Linked DNA regions of Xenopus tropicalis. The protein of the gene in region 2 interacts with the protein of the main gene of each other region in a pairwise test. Links are inferred from orthologs where the notes say so. Each region holds a gene or a part of one and is shown on either strand. Other genes may lie near its edges. The genes, in order: eif4e and eif4enif1.

What was found.
Region 1: the proteins of eif4enif1 (region 2) and eif4e interact in binary tests that used the Homo sapiens proteins (3 or more experiments, as listed by UniProt). The link is inferred for Xenopus tropicalis from reciprocal best matches to the Homo sapiens genes EIF4ENIF1 and EIF4E.

Annotation. Positions count from the first base shown.
Region 1 is NC_030677.2:74,891,303-74,895,225, reverse strand, and holds the start of eif4e (eukaryotic translation initiation factor 4E), read right to left. Parts: upstream 2,785-3,923; 5' UTR 2,779-2,784; coding exon 2,761-2,778; intron 1-2,760. UniProt on the Homo sapiens protein: Acts in the cytoplasm to initiate and regulate protein synthesis and is required in the nucleus for export of a subset of mRNAs from the nucleus to the cytoplasm which promotes processes such as RNA capping, processing and splicing.
Region 2 is NC_030677.2:152,099,493-152,103,315, forward strand, and holds part of eif4enif1 (eukaryotic translation initiation factor 4E transporter), read right to left. Parts: coding exon 3,694-3,823; intron 1,555-3,693; coding exon 1,359-1,554; intron 1-1,358. UniProt on the Homo sapiens protein: EIF4E-binding protein that regulates translation and stability of mRNAs in processing bodies (P-bodies). Plays a key role in P-bodies to coordinate the storage of translationally inactive mRNAs in the cytoplasm and prevent their degradation.

The DNA.
Region 1 (3,923 bases), about 77 Mb from region 2:
AAAGTATGTTTAGCACATGCCCTATTCACAGAGTTTATGTTAAAAAGTAGTGTATATTGTCCCCTTAATAAGTGACTAGTCTAGGTGAAATTTAGCTTAAATGCTCCTGGAGAGAAACAAAAAGGGATCTTGATATACTAATGTCAAATAAACATTTGCTCTATCCAACAATCTAGGAAACCTGCGAGATCGATCTGCCAAGACAAGACAAATCATCACACTTAAAGCGCATTTTCGTGGAAGATGCATTGGTCCACATATACCTTGAGACTGTAATGGAGACATTATGAGAACACAGATTACTTTTTGAATGCTGCATTCCAGCCAGTGATCAAAATGCCCTTGTCTTCCAGCAGCCATTCAAATTCATTTAAATGGGAAACTTGATAAGACTATGGTGCAGCCAGGGACAGCTTACACTCACTCATGTTATTAAGTGATCCCCGTGTGAATGTGTTAGCTTATTTCCCAAATCTGGTCCTTGGGAGGTCCAAGAGGACTGAAATGCTCCATGTAACAGAATCAATACATTTGGGGGTAAAAAGTGTGTGAAAGGTTTTAGAAATAAACTAGCAAAATCACAAAGCAACAAGTGCTAAATAGTAGATTAAAGAATAGCTACTACATTTTTTCAGAATGTTATTTCCTTCATACTAAAGCCGGGCCAATAAGACTGCTCAAAAAAAAACAAAAAAAGAAAGCCTGTGGGTTGCAAAATCTGCTTGTTCTAGTGACCCCCCCCCCCCCTACCAATGAATGGATCTTTATGGATATAGCCATTCAAAACTGAAATACACCTGTTACAAAAAATGACAGACACCTAAGTATACAATAGACTGAATGGCCGCGAATGAGCACTTCTCAGCCAGTGGAGAACTGGAGGTCACTAGGATCGGCGCGACCCTTCAAAAATTTTCAACTGCTCCAGAACTCAGACTTTTTTGTATGACATCAGTCTTAAAATATTCATGCAGTATAGCATATGGCTGACCCACAACACTGAATACACACTGCTTTATTAAAAAAAAAAACTTTAAGCAACTTCAGCCTGTACGGATATTACAACCCAAAGCATTCCCACCACCACAGACTGCCTTGAGGAAAAAAAAACGCACCACAATATCATACGCACATAAATATTTCTACACATATATAAATATCTAGTTTTATAGCTGCAAGGAGAATTACTAGCACTTGCTGATGTCTGTAGCCAGTGTCTCTAACTATGCAACTGTTGTGGTACAGGTATGGGATCCCTTATCCGGAAACCCATTATCCAAATTACGGAAAGGCCGTCTCCCACAGACTCCATTTTAAGCAAATATTTCTTATTTTTAAAAAATGATTTTCTTTTTCTCTGTAACTATAAAACAGGACCTTTTACTTGATTCTAACCAAGATATAATTAATCCTTATTGAAGGCAAAACAGTCCTATTTGGGCTTATTCAATATTTAAATGATTTTTAGCAGACTTAAGTTATGAAGATCCAAATTACAGAAAGATCCCTTATCCGGAAACCCCCAGGTCATGAGCATTCTGGATAACAGGTCCCATACCTGTACTTGATTCTAACCAAGATATAATTAATCCTTACTGGAGGTAAAACAATCCTTTTGGGTTTATTCAATATTTAAATTATTCTTAGCAGACTTAAGTTATGGAGTTTCAAATTACGGAAAGCTCTCTTATCCGGAAACCCCAAGGTCCCCAGGCATTGGATTACAGGTCCCATACCGGTACCAATTTCTGTGCCCATTCTTCTAGTTCTAATTAAAAGCAATACTGTGCAGCCAGGGAGCCACCTAGTCATGTCACAATCCCTCAGTCACGCCAATTAAATGCAATGCCATTCTCTGTAGTGTTTCACAGCCATGACATGTGCATTCTTTGGCCATGCATCAGGTTTCTACTTATTACAACAAACGTGATTTTTACTGGGACGACACCATGTGATTAGACAAAATGACTAACTTCTTTCAATTTCAGGGACTGCAAAAGAGCTGAAAGATAAGTCACTAGATTCCCCTTGTGGGCTTTCTGCGTGTGATTATTGGCGACAAGGCCGGCCAGCTGCCCATGTGAGGGAAAGGAGACTTACAAGGAAGTGAATGTACAGACATATGCCTGCGCCTTTTCAATGAGTAAGGCAACGTGCAGTAGAAGCTGGAGGAGGAGGGGACACCCCTGCCATATTAACTTGTGCAACACGATGGGGGGCGGGGAGTTTATGAGAGAAGCAATACGGTATCGATGCAATAGTGACAGGTTAGCCGCAGTAACCAAACCCAACATGGACACGGCGCACTCGGACTGGAATGCCGGGACGCGCCCGTAAATGGCCGGTGCAGCCAAAAAGTCTCGCCTCCCTGTGTGTGCCCGCCACGCGGCCAGCCGGCTCCTCGTCACATGCTGACGCGCACACACATGTACAATAATGGAGGGGGCGGGAGCGCGCACGGGTGTCCCACACACACACACACGGTGTAAGTAGCAGCCATTCCCCTAGCAATGCGACCGGGACATAGGGTGGGGCAAAGATCGCGGCATCCCCTACGATGCCTGTAGCTGCAGTAAAAGCAGCCGCCGCCGCCTAGAACAGCAGAAACATGTTACTTTGGACTCCTCCCTCGGCTTTCTGAGCGCCTAGCGGAGACCTGGCCGCCCCCTTGCTTTAATAAGTGTCAGTCGCTCCGCCAAAGCAACATCTAAAACCATGTGCTTGTGGGTTTGCCTGTACACGAGTCACGCATCTACTCACCGGCTCCACAGACGCCATTTTAGATGGTTGTGACTGCACAGCCGCCGCTGGCAGGAAAGAAGAGGAGGTTAAAAAAAAACTACTTTCAAACCCGGTTGGTTTGGGGCGTGCCACGTGACGTCCGCCGACAGCTGAGTCTGCGTAGCCCCGCCCAGCAACCTGTAAAGAGGGAGAGGCCGCGCAAGGGGTGCTGGGAGTTGTAGTGTAAATGGTCGCTTGGGAACTACTACTATTACGATTTGGTTCTGTGTCACTTGCAAGGCATTGGTAGGCGGGCATCTGATCTTTCATTAACGTTGAAGGACACAAAGGAAGTGTATGTAAAGGTGCAACATATGCAGGGCAGCTGGTAACTTATGCCTAAAGTGGCCTTGGCTTCTGATGTGAATCACACCCAGTACTTTCAATACCGAGCACTTGGCTAAAGTTTAGTTCTTTCCTCAAACGATTAAGTAAACATCTTTTGCTAGCATTTCCTTTTGTAAAAATGTTCTGTTTTATTTTTAAAATCGCTTTCTGATTTGTATTTTCCACTTTTGTAGCTATATAATAAGATATAAACTTTATAATTCACCATGAGCAGTTAAATAATTATTTTGCCCTCACCAAGCTTTTATATCTCATCAGAGAGGTTTAGCCACAGAGCAGATCCAAGACTAATGGAAGCCCCTGTTTATACAGGGTGGGAACCAGGGGAACTCTGAATGATAAGCAGTTTCAGTATTGCTGTGGCATACAGAAAACTTATGTTACACTACTGTGCATCTATTTGACATTGTGGCCGCAGCCTTGAAGAACTGAATTATTAAAATTATTTACTTCTCACCCATAAATACACGTATTTCCCGAAACAAAATGACACCAGAAAATTGCATTATACAATTTAGGGTTACACCTAAAATTTAATTTCAAAGGTTTACAGAAGCTATCATACATCAGTAAGACTACTTTTGATGAATAACAACTATTATAACAGATGTCCAAAGCACCATATAGAATTATGGGTAGGGCTGGGCGATATACCGTTTAATACCGAATACCGGTGTTTTTTTTAAAAACTATATTAATTTTTCAGATACCGCAATACCGGGGTGTCAGGGTACTCACCCGTGCGGCCTGGTCTCGCACGCCTCCTTGCGTGTGCATCCTATTGTCCGCGGGAC
Region 2 (3,823 bases):
GTCATAAGCTGAAGCTAAAGATTACATTTTTCATGTTATATGGCAGCTCTGAAACAAGTGCAATTAACATCTGAATTACTAAAAATCCTTTTATCACCACATTTAAATTCTATATTTACGGTATATTGTGAGTTGTTCCCTAAGCTCAATAACCGACAGCAGCACAGAGCATGTACAGTGAATCAGCAGAAAAGAAAATAGGGAGCTACTGGGGCATCTCTGTAGGCACAGATCTTCCCTGCTAAACAGCTGAGGTCTCCTTGGGCTGGTACAGAAGCCCAAAACAATGTGCAACATTTCTGCCCTACTTCTTTAGTTAAGCTTTAATTCTCGTTTAAGTTTGCATGTTTTCATTAAGACCCATGTTCCTTTATCCTACCTGGGCATGGCCTGTTCTGAGTTGTGCACTTGCCTCATACAATAACATGAAGTCTTAAAGACACTAATTTGTAATAGTTTAACTCCCAATACCAATGTCTGTGCAATCTGGAGATTGTTGACATTGTTGTAACACAGAACAGATTGCCATTAGTCTACCTGTTGTTCCTGTCACAATAAAACACCTGAATTACTTTTCTTATGTTCAAAAAGTTATTTGTATCTATAAGTGCACTTAATGCTTTAAAGGAACAGTACTACCAGAAAATGAAAACATTTGAATTATAATATAATGTACTGCTGCCCTTCACTGGTAAAAGTTGTATGTTTGCTTCAGAAACACTACTATAGTTTATATAAATAAGCTGCTGTTTAGCTATGGGGGCAAATGCACAAATGGGAATCTGCTCATCCAATATGTTATTTGCTATGTAACCTGTGACTTTTCTCCTTTTTTCATTTTAAGTGCTACCTCCATGACTACACAGCCACTTTGTTTATATAAACTACAGCAGAGTTTCACACAACTTTTACTAGTGCAGGGCAATAGCACATAAATTACAGGTATGGGATCCCTTATCCGAAAACCTGTAATCCAAAAAGTTATGGAAATTTGGAATATGGAAAAGTTATGCAACTTATGGAAAGGCCATCTCCCATATACTTCATTATAAGCAAATAATTCTAAATTTTAAAAAAGGATTTCCTTTTTCTCTGTAATAATAAAACAGTACCTTGTACTTGATCTTAAGATTCAATTGAAAATTCCAGATTGAACCTAAACTAACTCCTGTAACCACTGTTGTCAGATTCCAAAAACTCAATGGTGAAGGCATGACAACACAGTAGGGGTAAAGGGGAAAAGAAAAAAGGCTCAATATACTTTATTGCATGAACTCTCACCTTCTCATGTGTAATGGCCAAACAAGATATGCGGTAAAAACACCAACCCACTGCAATTTAAGTCAGATTCCACTTGCCTTCCTTTCCTGTCCGCTTTCTTGTCCTCTTGCGGCCCTTGTGATCCTCTTCCAGGATTTTATCATCAAAGCCAGTAAGCTCAATTGTCTCCGACTGGCTAGTGGGACCCCCAGAGAACCACTCTGGTTCCTCCTCTGTACAAGAGTCATTTCTACGTCTCTCACCAAATACACGTTTACTGTCTCCATGCTCTCGCTATGGCAGAGAAGACAGAGGGGGGGGGGGGGGGAGGAAAAAAAATAAAAACATTTAGAGAAGCTAAAAACAACAAGTTAACAAGTCTGGCACATATCAAGCCTTAATTTCAGTTTAATAAACTAAATGGATTTAAAATATGAATCACTGCATTTGCCCTCCTCCTAAAGGTCATTAAGGATATGACCAAACCTTCAGGTCTGCCAACCTTGTCAACATTGGTTAGTAAAATGAAGTTGCACCTTTAGTTTTAGACTTCAAAAATGTATAGTTGGATGGCATAATGGTTACAGATTAAAAGGACAAGTCAACCAAGAATATAATTTGCCTAATAAAAGAAAAAACATTCCAAGAAACTTTGTACTTATATATATATATATATATATATCTGGCATTTGAAACAATGTCACACACACACACAAGGCAGCAGATTGACAGAACTGACTAGGAGGAGCCTGACCTATGCAACATTGTGTAAAAAGTAACCAGGAGTTCAGCAAATGCTGCTTTCAATAGCAATTACATTTACAAATAACTTTTAAAAGCACAGAAAATTTTTAATAAAATCATTGTAAAGTTGCTTAGAATTATATTCTTTTATTAGGCAAAAAATTATATTCTTGGTTGACATGTCCTTTAAAGCATTTTGCACAAACACTGATCCACAGAATGACAACTACAAAATATTTTATAAATGCTTTTCTAACATTTCCGACAATATGCTTTTTGAGGGTGGTTTTAACAAAAAGGCTTGTGGGAAAACCATAGGCACAAGTTTTAATACACGGTTTACAGGACATTTAGTACAGGTGCTCGATATAGATATATATTTGGGGGAAGACCTAATATACCAAAGTCCTCACTTAAATCTGAAATATGTTACAAGGCACATAAAGGCCATGTCAGAGTCTGAAGTTGGAGCTTTGCAAATCCCAGGTAACTGTATTAGAATAACACTGTCATCAAACCAAAAGGGTAATTTTAAGGTACACCACCACTCTTTAATGTGACATCACTCTTCCAGACCTCTTATGGGTTGTTAATCTATGTTGTGAGAGATGCAATGGACAACGATTATTTGTATTTCCACCAGTGTTAAAGGCGGGGTACAAGTAGCACCAGGTAAAAGGCCTGGTTTTGCAACAGGTAATACTGTGTTTAAGTTACTAGCTTAGAAAAAGCAAAATTAATAGGTCCCTGGAGTGAATGGAGGGAGAGCAGGAAAGACCTTCCATTCCAAACTCCAGTTAACGTTTTCATTTGGCCAGCTGTAGTGTAGCTGCCCGATTAGGCTGCAGGTGAGCAGCAAATAAAATGGCTGTGTGATTACACAGGGGGGTTGAGCAGGAGTGGGGCACAGGGCAGGAAGGCTGCCTGCCTGCGTAAGGAACTCCCAGAGGAGCTGGGGATGCCTCCTGCCACTGCGAGGAGCAGAGGAAGTCGTGACCAGATGGATGAGAGCTGGGAGGAGTCAGCAAGGCTTAAGGTGAAGCCTGAGCGTTCATGAGCGAGAGTTGCTGTGGATGTGTGAAAGTCACTGGGGACAGTGAGAAACCCCGTAAAGGTTCCAAAGTGTGGAAGTAACCTTGGAAGGTGAGAGCCCTGAAGAAGGGACAAATCATAACCCTGAACTGTTTTAGTTAGTTCTGTCTGTTTATTTAGGGCCAATTCTTCCCAACATCAACATGTGTTTTGCCTGAAGTTGCACCCCTTATGCTCCAAATCCTCTGCATGCCTGCCTACCATTGCTAATTCCCCAAAAATTATGTGTACAGGCAGTCAGCATGTCACATAGTATCATTTGTTTTAGAACAGGACTCAAGGTAAGGATATATAAAATAAAGGAAGTTTCCTTCTCTTAATTTCTTGATAAAGTCAACAGAACAGAGCACTAACTGGACAATGATTTTGTAAGAAACATTTATAGTCCTCGCAAACATCCAGTATTAAATCTAGCTGCCCTCCAGCACTTTTCAGCATACAACTAAAAATGATTGACTGCTATTTGGAGGAATTTTAGCTATCTTTATTAACAAATCAGTTTAATACACCTCATGTTAAAGTTACTTTAGATCAGGATGTAACATCAGCATTCCGTGATGCAAGGTTTACACACAAATCTTAAGACAGAAAACTTACCCTGAAGCGTTTGTCTTTGTATTCTTTTTCTCTGTCTCGCCCCTCTCTGGGTTCTCTATCGCCTCGAACATCTCTGTCAAACCCTCTTGCAGTCATAATTCTCCCGCTGCCAATTCGGCGAGACCCCAAC